Diceros bicornis minor: one gene and its partner. The protein of the gene in region 1 interacts with the protein of each later gene in a biochemical or structural test. Links are inferred from orthologs where the notes say so. Each region holds a gene or a part of one and is shown on either strand. Other genes may lie near its edges.

Region 1 (7,900 bases):
CGCGCACCGACGCACCACTTCTCCGGCCATGCTGAGGCCAAGTCCCACATATAGCAACTAGAAGGATGTGCAGCTATGACATACAACTATCTACTGGGGCTTTGGGGGAAAAAATAAATAAATAAAATTATTATTAAAAAAAATAAAGCTCTAAACAGACTTTTTGTGTGTGTGTGTGAGGAAGATCAGCCCTGAGCTAACATCCATCCCAATCCTCCTCTTTTTTTTGCTGAGGAAGACTGGCCCTGGGCTAACATCTGTGCCCATCTTCCTCCGCTTTATATGGGACCCCACCACAGCATGGCCTGACAAGCAGTGCGTCGGTGCATGCCCAGGATCCGAACCTGGGCCACCAGCAGCGGAGCATGCGCACTTAACCGCTACGCTATGGGCCGGCCCCTAAACAGACTTTCTTTGATTCTTTTTTTCTTGCCCCTTTTTGGAATGGTGTTTTTCCTTTGGCACTTGACCCTGATGAGTACATCTTGGCTGGTTCACCCTATTCTTATGCTCTATTTCTAATTCTAACACCAATTATTGATATTTAATTAGATTTCTAGAGGAATTAGGCCTTTCTTACCAAGTTCCTAGTCCACTCCTAATGGTGAAAACTGCTCACTGCACAACTCCCTCATTCATTCCTTCACTTGCCTATTAGGATCCAGGAACTGAGCTAGGTGCTGGGAATAAAACTGTAAACAAGACCGACAGGTCTCTGCTTTCATGGAACTTCCATTCTGCTGAGAGAGACAACCAAACAAAAATTTAGGTCAAAACAACCTGACTGATGCTCCCGGCACTATTCTAGGATTTTTTTTTTTTTTTTTTAAGAAGATCAGCCTTGAGGGGCCAGCCCGGTGGTGCAAGTAGTTAAGTGCGCGCGCTCAGCTGTGGCGGCCCGGGGTTCGCCGGTTTGGATCCCGGGCGCGCACCGACACACCGCTTGTTAAACCATGCTGTGGCGGCGTCCCATATAAAGTAGAAGAAGATGCGCACAGATGTTAGCCCAGGGCCAGTCTTCCTCAGCAAAAAAGAGGAGGATTGGCATTGGATGTTAGCTCAGGGCTGGTCCTCCTCACAAAAAAGAAAAAAAAAAAATCAGCCTTGAGCTAACATCCACCCCAATCCTCCTCTTTTTGCTGAGGAAGACTGGTCCTGAGCTAACATCTATTGCCAATCCTCCTCCTTTTTCTTTCCCTTTTTCTCCCCAAAGCCCCAGTAGATAATTGTATGTTATAGTTGCACATCCTTCTTAGTTGCTGTATGGGACAGCACCTCAGCATGGCCGGACAAGCGGTGCATGGGTGCGTGCCCGGGATCCGAACCCAGGCCGCCAGTGGCGAAGCGCGTACACTTAACCGCTAAGCCAGGGGGCCGGCCCCTAGGATTTTTTTTTCCATGTATTTTCTCTCTGCAGCCTTCCATAGGATCCTGTGTGCAGTCCTACAGTAATTAAGCACTGGGATCTGAGTCGGAAAGCCTGAGTTCAATATGATACTGGCTCTGCCACTTCAAGCTGGGTGACAAAGTTGCCCAATCTCTCTATGTTTCACTTTCTTCATCTGTAAAATGAGGATAATAATAATAGAGTCTTTGTGAGGATTAAGGGCTTAGCACAGAATCCCCAAATAATAAGCACTCAATTAATGTCTGCCACTGTTCTTCTTTTCTATATACACTACTCTTTGTACTTTTTTTCCCAAAGCACTCTTTTCCAGTGCACATCCACTCCCTTTCCCACCCCTTTAAAAATGATGGAGGGAGAAACTTAATGTTGAAAAATTTCTATCTGTTCACAATTTGTTTCCTGGAAATTGGAAAGAGACTCTCAGTATACAATGGGCTCAGCTCACAAAATTCCACTCTGTCATTGGAATATATATTGCTCACACATTTGAACGTGCTTAACTACTTCTTATACGAACTCCTCCTTTGCCTGAAGGTGATTTTATAATTTAGCATAATTTTGGAGGGGGGATACTGTAGGACACACCTGTCACCCTGAAGCTAATGCCTAAACAACCATTTTATTATTGGAGACCCCCACATATCAATGAGGGTAAGTTTAACATGCTGTATTCCTCTTTGATGGTTCTGCAGTCCTACAAGGCTGGAAGGTATATGATGGCAACAGAAGACCTGGGTTCAGGAGAGTAAGGATAGCATCTCTTTTCCTTTTTCTACAGTACCTGGACAGCACCCAACATGCAGTAGAAGCTCAATCAACACTACTTCCCAGCTGTGTGATATTGGCAAGTTACTTAACTCCTCTGAGCCTCAGTTGTAAATAAATACTACACTCACTTGGAAGGGTTGGTGTAAGGAAAAAATGAGCTAATATTAATAAAGCCCCACGCGGTGCCTGACACATGGCAGTTGGTTCTCTTTCCCTTTCACTTCTTGTGTATTTCCTACTTAACCCCCCCCCCGCCCCCCGCCACCAAATTATAAGTTATTTGAGTCAGCAACTTTGTCTACATTTCTTTGTCTGCCCAAGGCCTAGCACAGGACTTTACACATAATGATAGTTTCAGTTATTCATTCATTCAGTGAATCTTTGAGCACCTACAATGGACAGAAGCTTAGAGTTGAGAGAGCAGGCACATTCGGGAACCCTGAGTAATTAAATATGACTGAAGCAGAGGCTTCCAGGAGAAATGATGAGAAAGAGCTAGAATGGTTAGCTTGGATTAGTTCTCAAAGGGCTTTGTAGGTCTTATAAGAATTGTGGACTTCATCCTATAGGGTACAAGATTGCCACTTAACCAAAGAGTGGTGGAAACTTATTTTGTTTTTATTTTAGAATGGTTTGCGGTTCTCAGACTTTAGTGTGTTTAAGAATCACCAGGGAAGTTTGTTAATAAAGTGTGATCCCAGAGCCACACTGCCCAAGAATACGCACTTAAACCAGCACCCTAGATGATACTGATTCACTTAAATATTCTGGCACAAGTGGGACATCCCTTAAAACATAAAGATCACTTAGGATGCTACTGTAGTAGCCCTAGGGAGAGCTGACTTGAACCTAGGATTCCTCTACCTCCCTGCCTCAATCTGCCTTCCTTGGCCTGTCTTACATCTAAGGCCTTAAGCCTCCTCTTCCCCATGGAGGACCAGCTGGAAGCCCAGCAAATGCAGCCTAGCCCAGCGACTAGACAGAGGCTGAAGAGAAGTAAACAGATTTGGTAGGTATTTAGAAGGTGGAATAGACAAGACTTGAAGATTGATTGTATGGGGAGGGTGTGAAGGAGAGGAAGGAGTCTAGGATGCCCCCTGGCTTTCTGGCTTGGAGCAATGTTGTAATGGTGTGGCATTCAGTGAACCGGCACCTTGATAGAGAGGGGCAGATTGAGGAAGGTAAACTGAGACATTTTAGTTGAGATTTGTAGTTTGCAGTGCCTCTGAGACATCCAAGTGGAGATGTTCAGAAGTCAGTTGGATTTATAGATTGGAAGCTCAGAGAAAGATCTGGACTAGAAATATAGATTTGAGAATCATTAGCAAATAGATAGTAATGGAAGTGGGTGAAATCATCCCAGGAGAGGGAATAGAATGATAAGAGAAAAGGATATAGAACAAAACCCAAGGAACATTTAAGGGAAGGGCTGAGGAAGAAAAAAATTGCAAAGGGATCAAGGACAGGCCAGAGTCACAACCCGAAGTCACAGGGAGGGAGTTCAAGAGGAGTGATGAACTGGGAAGCATACTGGATTCAGCAAATAAGTCTGTGGTGACCTTGTAGAGAGCAGTTTTAGTGGAGCTACCAGGACAGCACCAGATTGCAGAAGATTATGGAGTGAGTGGGAGGTGAGGGAGTGGAGACAGCTGGCATGGACATTTTTTCAAGATGTTTGGCCAAGAATGGAGAAAGATATGGTGGTAACTTAAGAAGGAAATAGAATTGAGAGAGAATCTTGAGAGAGAGACTATTTCTGTGCAACAGAAGAGTGGAAGAAAATACAGGGACAAAGGAAATAATCAATAAAACCTCCTGAGAGGAGCGGTTGGAATCCCCTGTACAGACGTCAGGATTGTTCTGAAGACAGGAGAGACCTACTTTTTTTTAACCAGAAGGAAAGAGGAAATGATTGATTGGTTTGGAAGCCTGATATTGGGTAGTTCTCTCTGATGGATTCTGTTTCCTCTCAGAGGTTGGGATCCAGGCCATGAGTAAGGAGTCCGTTGGATGAACATTTTTCCTCAACTAGTCAAAGTAGAGGGTTACCAGCAGGACTGAGGTAGTCACTGCACTGAGGCAAGAGCCTGGTGGGAAGCAGGTTGACGTTGAAGCTTTAAAATCCAAAGGATGAGAAGCTGACTGAGAGAAAGTGTGATGTTCCTCTAATCGTAGGGAAAACTGCATTTGTGCCACCGAACAAGAGGGTTTTTCCAGAACCTTATGCTGGGGCTTTGATTTAGGCTCCCCCTTCCTCGTCTAGTCAGTCTGCCTTCCCTGCCCTGTCTCTCACATCTAGGCCTCAAGCCTTCTCGTCCCCACCGAAAACCAGCTGGAAGCCATTTTGATTAAGCTCCACCACAGAAGGAGGACAATACAGCCCCGCCCAGAGCCACGCGCGCCCCCGCGCGGGCCGGGTGCGCGTGTCCGCGCCTCTTCCCGCCGGCCTGGCGGGCGCCGAGCCCAGACCCAGGCGGCGCGGGGCGGGGGTGGGGCGGGGGTGGTTATGTAAGCGTTGCGCGCTCCCGCGAGGCGACAGCCAATGGAAAGCCCCGGCGGCTCGTGCTCGCGCACGCAGGGTGGGGGGAGGGAGCGCACGACGTGCGCGCGCCCTCTCCCTCCTCCACCGCTGCCGCCTCCTTCTGCCGCTCCTGGTGCTGCTTGTGTGCTCGTTCGGTGCGGACCTGGTACCTCTTTTGTGAAGCGGCAGCTGAGGAGACTCCGGCGTTCGCTATGGCCGACGAAAAGCCCAAGGTGAGCTCGGCGCCGGCCTCCTCGCCTCGCCGCGCGGCCGGAGTCATGGCGGGGGCTGGGGTCCGGCCCGAGCCCGCCGCGGGCTCCCCGCGCCTTCCCGGGCCCCCCATGGGGCCGGCCGCGGCTCAGGCCCGGCGCTCCGCGCCATTTTCCTCCCTCCCCTCTTCCTCCCTCCCGCGCCGGAGGAGGCCCCGCCGCCCTCCCCCGCCCCCGGCAGCCTCAGAGTGCGCGCCGAGCGCGAGTTGGGCGGGCGGATCGCGGACGCCCGCGGGCCCACCGGCCGCGAGCGGGGCTCCTCGGGCCCGGCCGGCCGGGCGCGCGTGAGGAGGGGCGTTAGGGCGCGCGGTGTCCCCACCCTCCGCGGACCCCGGGGCGGGTGTTGCCGCCTCCGCGGTGGCGGGGAGTTCCCTCCGCCTGGGGCTTCCTCCCTCGGGGGTGGGGGCCGCGGGCATCTGGGGACCCCTGCCCTGGCCGCATTGGCCGGTGAGGGCTCCGGCGAATCAATGGGCTGCCGATGGGTTGGAAGCCGGATGCGTGAGGGGCCGGGGGGTGGGGGGGTTCCCAGGGAGTATCTCCCACCTTGATGGCCTTAGGATCCCCGAGGGGGCTGGGCAGGGGCTTTTCCCTGGGTGCCAAGTAACCTCCAACCTCCGAAGAACATGTGGTTTCGAGAAGTTGGAGACAGATGTACAAGCAGAGAGACTTTGTGGGGCTTAACTTTTTGAGTTTTGAGGCACCGGGAGGCTTCTCCCGGGAGGACGAGAGCACACACTTCTTCCTGGCACACGAGACTTTCTTTTGGCTTGGTTTGTGACACCCCCTCCCTTCTTTCTGAAGTGATTTAGGGGCTACAGGATTCCTTCTACACTTGATTTTGGCAAACTTCAGATTGGGTCTAAATCTACAAGGAAGACTTGGAATAAAACTGTGCATTTGACCCGTGACAACAAAGGGGAGGGGAGAAGAAGAGCTCTTAACGAAAAATAAATACGAAGCTGCTCATAGTAGAGGCGACCATTAATAGTGGTTCTGAGTTATTGCCGCTGCTTCGGAGACAATGAAAGGATATTCCTCAATTAGATTTTTTTTAATGTTGTTGGAGATTTAACTTATTAAACTGAGTTTGGTAACTTTTTAAGAAGAGGTTTGTAATGAGTGTTGAATAGCAAGCTCTAGGTTTTTTTCCCTTGCATTCTGTACTTGAAGCACTTTGAAAGAGAAAAGACACTTATTTTTAATCTTTTTAGGGGAAAGGTATATTTTGAGAGTGATATAAAGTATGCCATTTTAGGAAATTCAGATGCAAGAAAGCATTGCAGTAAATTAAGTGGGACTCTTTAAAAATCGATTGTTGTCCCCGATAGTATTGCATGTGGGCTGCTTTCTGTTTCTGTGACAGCTGTTTAATATTGTTGCTCCAGGATTTCTCATCTTTCAGATTGATTTCAGCCAGTGAAAACAGCTGTATGCTCATTTATCATACAGAGTGAGAAACCTGTTGATTTCTGAAGCAACTTGGGCTGCTGCTGCTGCTTTAAAAGGAGTTTGTTTTTCACATTTTCCAAATTATACTTTTATTTTTCTTTCAACAGGAAGGAGTCAAGACTGAGAACAACGATCATATTAATTTGAAGGTGGCGGGGCAGGATGGTTCTGTGGTGCAGTTTAAGATTAAGAGGCATACACCACTTAGTAAACTAATGAAAGCCTATTGTGAACGACAGGTGAGGAACTGACGTGCACTTCCACTGAATAGAAATTATTTTAAAAAAGCAAACTTTATTTTCTTGAGAACAGAAACTAGACTAGCGTAATATTATAATAGACTATCTTTGGTAGAATGAATATGCATTTATATACCTGACATATTAGTTTCATCATACAGTTGGTATGTTGATTCTTCGTGAAAACCCTTAGGATGGTTTGATTAATATTACCTATGATTCTAGTCCTATGCCAGAAATGCATCAAATTATATTCAGAGCATGTGATTTGTTCCCAAGGGGATATAATTTTATAAGAAAATAAGAATGAACTTGGTAAAATTTCGTCAGGCTCTTTTTTTATCCATTTAAAGTTTGTCTTGTGTCAAAACAATTTAGAGTATTTTAAACGATTTGGAAATAAAAGTAAATGTGAGTTTAAGGACATTGCAATTTTCCTGAAGTGTGTAAAATTGTAGTGTTTCTTTTTACACTATTAGTAGAGGTCAAGAAATTTAACCTCCTGGCCAAGCATAAACATTCCTATATTATAGGGACATTTGCATTTTACTCAGAAAATAGTAAATAGACATCAAGAAGAGGAAGTAGAAATGAACAGATGCTGGGAGGTAAATGCAAGCTTCAAGACAAAGAAACTTCTTTTTGTGATGTTGAGTCTGTAACAATACAAAGGCAACTTTAAAGATGACTTTTGCAAGTATAACAAAAACACTGGTTCCTAGATCAGTTAATCCAGTACCTTGCAGAAATATTTTTCTTGTTCAATTCTGAATGTATAATATATAAAAGTTGGGAAAATCATTCTTTTAGACCAAAACACCTCTACGTTGGAAATTGTCCTAAAAATAGGCTTAAAATAGAATAAAGCTTAAACCTGTAGAAGTTGGGAAATTGAGTTGAGTTGATGCTTGGGCTTCCTCCATGAGACCTAAGGGCATTTGAAAGAAACTGAAGATATAAACTTCTTTTTGAGTTTGAAGCTTTATTTTATGCCTAATTTATTTATAATGTAATAAGAGAATACTGTGCTTATAATTCTTTGTCCTCGTTCGTAAACTTTCTTATACTTCCTTACAAAGATAAGATTTTCAGTATACTCTTATTTGAAGAATTTTCGTGAAATCCTCCTAACAGTAAATTTGTACTTATTAATTGTGCTAAAGAATTTTTGCACTAGAATCTTCCCTATTTGAACACTAGTTCTCCTTCAGGTTACAGGAGAATTTTAAAAGGTAATCATTTTGTA
Region 2 (6,934 bases), on another chromosome or scaffold:
ACTGGATAAGAGCCCCTCCCCGCCCCCCCCCACGCTGGGCACCGCCCCTCCACGCAGCGCACAAAGAGCCAGGGAGACGCAGAAAGGAGCCGCTGCAGCAGTCGACCACCTCCCGCCCCCCGCCACGTGACTGCGGCGCACGCGCACGCCGAGCAGCCAACAAAGAGGCGCCGAGCGTGGGCGGGGCCGAGGCGCGAATTCCGCGCGCCAGGGGCGGGGCTCGGCTCGGGCTCGCGCGCCCCCGGCCGGCCCTCAGGGCCGCATTGTCCCGGCGCGCCAAGGGGCGCCCGGGCCCCGCCCTTCTGCTACAACGTAGCAGCCGCACTTCCTCCCGCCCCTCCCCCGCTACACTGTAACCGCGCGCAAAAGAAAAAAAAAATCCCCCCTTGGCCTCGAATTTTATTCCTTCGCTTTTCCCCCCTTGCTTTAAATGAGGATCACCTTCCTTTCTCCCATCCTTTAGTCGTAAGGGACCCTTTAAAGAAAACGACCCCCTCCTTTTCTCCCGCCCTCTTTCTCATCTGTTCACTCCCTAAAAGGGTCTCTTTTAAGGGGAAATCAAAGAAAGTAAAATTAATCAAGCACATGTTAGCCTTCCATCCACGAAAAACTACCGGACCGCCCCTCGGGGATCGCGGGCGCGCGGAGAGCCCCGATCTTTTGTGAATGGTAACGCGTAGTGCAACCCAGTGGCCCACCGCGTCCCCCACCTTGGGATCCCAGCTCTCTGCAGCTGCCCGCCCAGCCTCGTCCCTTCCTCCTCCGGCTTAGCCACATAAAGCCCCGCCAAGGGAGATGCACCCGGGGAAAACCTCGCCTCGCTTTGTCTCGGACTGTTTCCGCATGTCCCTCCCTCCCCAGTCTTCAGACCGTTAGGAGATCCTCTTTAAGTAAAAGCTTGCAGAACCTCGGTCTTCCCGCCCCCTAAATCTGAAGGGTGCTTTTAATGGCTTCCCCAAAATGAGCCTGCCAAAAAAAAATCATTCCCCATTTTCTTAAGAGCAAATTCTAGCAACAAATGGGTATTATATATATAAAACTTTTTTTGGCAAAGCTTGGCTAAAGATGAAGAGTGCAAATGTCCTACAACCACTCTTTATCATTTGTCCGGGTTTTTTCCTTCGGAAAAAGAAATATAGTTAAAAGAGGTTTAAAATCCTTACCTTGGCACCGATCTGGTTGCCACATTGACCGGCCTGGATGTGCACGATTTCCCTCATGTTTAAAATTTATTTTAATTCTTTTCCTCGCCTCAAGGTGTGTACGGGGCAAGAAAACGATATGTGGGGTTTTTTTTCTCTGCTGCTGGCCGCAGGCTGGAAGGATGGGACGTGCCCCGGAGGCTGGAGCAGCGAGGTCCGAACGCGGCGGCAGGAAGGTTCTGAGAGGGAGAAAGGAGAGGGGAGGGCGCAGGAGGGAAGGCTGGCAGGGCGGGGCGCGCTTGCGCCGGGGTGGGAAGGCGGGAGAACGCGCTCCGCGCCGCGGTGGGGAGACAAAGCTTCATCGAGGCTGGCCCTGATTAGTCGATGCTGGTCATGTATCAGACGTCCATTGGTCTCTGCGCGAGTGGACGAACGCAGTCAGCTCTGGGAGTTGTAGTCCTCTATTGTTGTCCACGCTGCAAAATGAAGGGACGAATGGGTGGGTACCGGGTTTTTGGTTTTGGACTTTTTTTGTATTTTATGAAAAAATGACCTTGCGTACGATTTCTTTCCTCTATGCCTGAGTTTTTTGTACAAAAAGAGCGTCGTTTTCGGGGATACAGGATTTGGGACCCCTGGAGTGCCAGGCGTTGGAAGGAGTGGGCACGCCCTGAAAGCTCCCCGCGGCGGTAGCTCTTGGGAAGACAGGACTGCTTAGCTCAGCGAAAACTGGGGAGAAATGCGGCACCCTGCTCTGCTATCTAACAGCTGGTCCTTTGGTGACCCAAGGCATGAACTCCAGTAAGCCGCCGCTCCCCCAGATACTCAGGAAGAAGGAGGGGATTGCCCTCCTATTTCTTTGGGAGTTTTCTAATGATAATATTTTGAAAGAGAAACAAAATTGCAACAGGGGCTTTTCAGGATAGAGATGTAATTGTCCGGAGGTTACGTTCAGAGAATAAGTTGAATAGTTTAGAGAAGCTGATATCTGGGATCTGTGAAGCCAGAAGTTTCCTTCCGTGTAGGGGATCTGGGCCTTAGAGCAGCGTTGAAGACACTGTGGTCTTGTCAAACAGAACTATGGGGTGGGATGCCTGATAGAATTTCAGTGTCTTTCCAGCCTTTTTCAGTTCGCTGATTTCACTGACCAGCTGGCTGGCCACTGCAACCTTTCAAGAACCCCAGGATTGAACAAAAGGGGGATAGGGAGGGAGATGGATGGGAGAAAATTGGACGGGCTCAAGTCAGAGCCGCATGTTTCTTCTCAGGCATTAATTCATTTGATAGATACTAAGTGTCCACCAAACCAGGAGCTAGGGATACAAAAACGATTAAAAATTCTCTCCCTGGCCTACCAGGATCTTGCAGTTTCGTGAGAAGTGTATAAACAATGGAGTGTGGTAATACCATAATACAGGACATGTGATATCAAGGTCATCACTGATAATTCACATTGGATTCAACACACATTTCTCAGTCACCTAAATAAAAGAATATCAAGTTGTGTAAGACCCCTCTACCCACTCAAAATAAAATGTTTTATGTTTTAGGGCATGGTCACAATGAAAGTAGTTATTTTGTGGCAGTGGAGAGAGTTCAGAATTTAGAATGAGCGGACGTTTCAATTTCTCTACCTTACATTAGCTGTAGGAACCTAAGCAAGTCATTCACCTTCGCAGAGCTTCAATTCCCTCTGTAAAATCTACTTCTGCCTATTTGATTGCTGTGGTCAGGCTGAAGTGAGATAAAATGCAAAAGGACTTCCTAAATCATACACATGTCAAATTGTTACTATCCTCTTCTGTCTTAGTATGAGATGATGAAATAAATGGTTTTATCATTCTTCTTTAACCCCTTGAAAGACCTCGGTCAGCCTTTAAGATGGTTAGCAAAATAGTTCTTTCTGTTCGCCTAGGGATCTTTGCTTTAGGAAAATGACCTCAAAATGTCTATCAGGGATGTATTCTCAAGGAGGAAATGACATGACTTCTACTAAACAAGCCAAATCAAAAAGAAATGAACTTCCATTGCAATGAGGAGTCCTCAAGCGCCACGCCTACGGGCAGTTCTCCAAACTGCAGCCTCCGGCCACGACTGCAACCCGCAACCCGTTTTCACTTCTCATGAGTCAGCGGACACCATGTCTGGGAGGACTGAGGAAGGGCGCTCTGGCCGCACTAGACGCATCGGGCGACGACTATGGTAAGTCCCTCTATCCGCGCCGGCAACCAGACTCTGTGGTCGCGGTTTGGAAATCTGCGCGGGAAGTGGGCGGTGGGTGGTGAGGCGGTAGTGGGTTGTCCCTCGCAACTGCCCAATCGGAGTGCGCGATTCTGAGCGCGGAGGGCGGCCTCTGCTTACCGCCTCGCACAACGGATCTCAAGCCCCTGAGAGAAGCCGCCCCTTTGAGCGGTGAGGGGGCTGGGCGGGGATGGGGGCGGGGCTATGGATGTGCGTCCGCGTTGGATATTTGATCAATCGGCCTGCCGCAGGACTGTGAAAGACAGCGGCGGGAGCCAATCAGAGAATCGGCTCCCTCCGGGCGCGAGCAGTCGCGCCACCGGCCCGCGGCCGTTACTGGTGGCGCGCGCGGGGACTCAAAGTAGGTGAGTTCTGGGGGGCCTTGCCCACAGCTCCCCGGGTGCCATCTTGGTTCTCCTGGAGGGCGGGAGGGGCGTGCCTTGGGTGCGACTGGGCGGAGGAGATTTGGAAGTTTGCTTCTCGGATTATAATATTCATCTTTACTTGACGCCCCTCCCCGAGTTTAGGTATGAAGACACAGGGAGACGTTAGGCCAGGAGGGAACCCACTGGGATGGGGATCAAAGATGGTGGCCCATTGGATTGGAGCCAAGGGTCATGGGCACCCGCTGAGTTCGCCAGTCTTAATGACGGAGTTGGTACTATCTCCAAGGAGGCGTCCCACTTTCCCTTCCTGTCAACAGTTTCCCTCTAGGGTGGCATCTTGCTAAGTGAGTTCCGTCCCTGCTATTTTGAGTTTTCATCTTTCATTTGTTCTTTCATCAGGAGGGCAGGGTGAATTTTATGTTTCGTTCATGAATATATCCTGAATACTTCGAACGGTACCAGGTGCACAATGACTACTCTTGAAGGAATATGATGGACCCCAGGGGAAAAGACACTTCTGCTGGTCCAGTTCTCGAAGGGATGTGTGAAGGCAGAAAGGGAAAGTAACGGTTACAATATGGTGAGAAGTGTTAGGATAGTTTCAAGTCCTTTCACCATTGTGGAACACGTACGATACACCAGGAACACCAGAAAGCAGGCAAGACTCCAGGAAGGGCTTTGCTAAGGAAGTGACATTTGAACTGAATTGTAAAAGATGGGTAGGAGTTAGACCAGAAAACTAGGAGCAAAGGGCCAAGGAGCTGGATAAGGCATGCAGATGTGGGGGACAACAGGAACAGTGTGTTCAGAGAGTAGGGAGAAGATTCATGTGGTTGAACCATAGGCTTGAGGGGAGGCATACATTGCAGGACATGAAGTTCAGATCATAGAGGGTCTTGCTAAGGAGTTTAGATTTTATGTTATCCTGTGGGCATGGAAAGCCATCAAAGAATATTAAACAGGGGCTGGCCCGGTAGCATAGTGGTTAAGGTGCTCTACTTCGGTGGCCCTGGGTTTGTGGGTTCGGATCCCGGGTGCGGACATACGCACTGCTCATCAAGCCATGCTGTGGCAGGCGTCCCACAAATAAAATAGAGGAAGATTGGCACAGATGTTAGCTCAGGGACCATCTTCCTCAAGCATGAAGAGAAAGATTGGCAACAGATGTTAGCTCAGGGCCAATCTTCCTCACCAAAAAAATATGTGTATGTATTAAACAGGGGAGGGACATGTGGGTGATCTTGGGCATTTTCCTTAACCCATCTATGTTGCAGTTTCTTTATCTGAGAAATAGAAGTTAATAATAACACTTTGTAGGGTTCTTGTGATGATTAAATGAGTCAGTCCATGCAAAGTAACTAGAACAGTGCTTGACACGTAGCAAGCATCTATATATGTCAGCTATTATGATTCTTTGCAGTTAGTCTGATCACACTGAGATGGTCTGGTAAAGGGTAAAAAGCATGGGCTTTGCAGCCAGAAGCACCTTTATTCCTGTCCTTTCCACTTACCTGCTGTTATCTGCAGCAAATTACTTAATATTTTAGCCTTAGATTCCTAAATGCCTGCCTCATATCATTACCATGCCTGACACGTAACACCATGCCTGACAGATAGTTGATGCTTGGCAAAAGTTAGCTCCCTTTAAAATGGTGTATTTCAAACTATGGGTTGCAACCCAATAGTGGATAGTGAAATCAATTTAGTGGGTTGCAAATCAGCATTTGAAAAATAGAGAATAGGGCTGGCCCCGTGGCGTAGCAGGTAAGTGTGCTGGCTCTGCTTCTGGCGGCCCAGGTTCGGATCTCAGGCACACACCAACGCACCGCTTGTCAGGCCATGCTGTGGCGGCGTCCCATATAAAGTGGAGGAAGATAGGCACAGATGTTAGCCCAGGGCCAGTCTTCCTCAGCAAAAACAGGAGGATTGGCATGGATGTTAGCTCAGGGCTGATCTTCCTCACACACAAAAAACAAAAAATTAAAAAAATTAAAAATAGAGAACAGAAAAAAATAGAATGAAGCTATCAGTGTGTTGTATATAGTAAGGCTAGGCAGTTTTTCTCAAAACATTTGTCTGTATAAATAAGCACGTGTGTTTGTATATATTTGGGACCTTATGATATTTATTTCTTATTCTGTATCGTGGTCAAAAATATTTTTTAAATGCTTCAGAAAGATAACCACGGAATGATCGGCGGAAAGAGAAGCATGAACCTCCATAACTATCCAGGTTTACCCCGGTTATCAGTCTTCTCTCTGAGGCTGTGTGTGTGAACCAATAATAGAGATGATGATGTGTTTCCTTCCCAGATTATGGAGGACACTCAGGCTATTGACTGGGAGGCTGAAGAAGAGGAGGAGACAGAGAGACCCAGTGAATCCTTGGGGTGTAACTTGGCGCCCGTAGGGCGACTGCATATCTTCAGTAGTGCCTATGGACCAGAAAAAGGTCAGAGGGTATTGGATGCTGAAGTACTGGTATAGGCCTCTTATTTTTGTAAGGAAGTAGTAGGAGGTTTGCAGGAGGCTTATATATGTTTCAAGGAGATGTGAAAAAATTCTTTTACTGGCAATGGAGAACAGGGGGCTGATTGAGTTAATTGCTCCAGGCAAGTGCCCTGGACTCACCGGAGGTGATTTTACTTTGCTAGAAAATTAAGAGATTCAAATAAAAATCCAGTGTGGTCTGGAAATGGATGGTAGTGATGGTTGCACAACAATGTGAATATACTTAATGCCACTGAACTGTACACTTAGAAATGGTTAGGGCCAGCCCCGTGGCGTAGCGGTTAAGTGCGCAGGCTCAGCTGCTGGCTGCCCGGGTTTGGATCCCGGGCGCGCACCATTGCACCGCTTGTCAGGCCATGCTGTGGCGGCGTCCCATGTAAAGTGGAGGAAGATAGGCACAGATGTTAGCCCAGGGCCAGTCTTCCTCAGCAAAAACAGGAGGATTGGCATGGATGTTAGCTCAGGGCTGATCTTCCTCACAAAAAAAAAAAAAAAAAAGAAATGGTTAAAATGGTAAACCTTATGTATATTTTATCACAATAGAAAAAAATCCCGTGTGGAGGATGAGGTATTGACTATGAATAATATGTTACATATATTCTTCAATATCTAGATGTCCTGGGGCCTTTTATTTGTCTAATGCATGTGGGGACCT

The links.
Region 2: the proteins of SUMO2 (region 1) and MDC1 form a complex in vitro, tested with the Homo sapiens proteins (2 studies listed by BioGRID). The link is inferred for Diceros bicornis minor from reciprocal best matches to the Homo sapiens genes SUMO2 and MDC1.

The regions. Positions count from the first base shown.
Region 1 is NC_080757.1:55,707,935-55,715,834, reverse strand, and holds the start of SUMO2 (small ubiquitin-related modifier 2), read left to right. Parts: upstream 1-4,795; 5' UTR 4,796-4,909; coding exon 4,910-4,930; intron 4,931-6,522; coding exon 6,523-6,654; intron 6,655-7,900. UniProt on the Homo sapiens protein: Ubiquitin-like protein that can be covalently attached to proteins as a monomer or as a lysine-linked polymer.
Region 2 is NC_080753.1:34,401,584-34,408,517, forward strand, and holds the start of MDC1 (mediator of DNA damage checkpoint protein 1), read left to right. Parts: upstream 1-3,930; 5' UTR 3,931-4,346; coding exon 4,347-4,349; intron 4,350-6,081; coding exon 6,082-6,220; intron 6,221-6,934. Other genes in the region: TUBB (tubulin beta chain), read right to left, coding at 1,164-1,220. UniProt on the Homo sapiens protein: Histone reader protein required for checkpoint-mediated cell cycle arrest in response to DNA damage within both the S phase and G2/M phases of the cell cycle.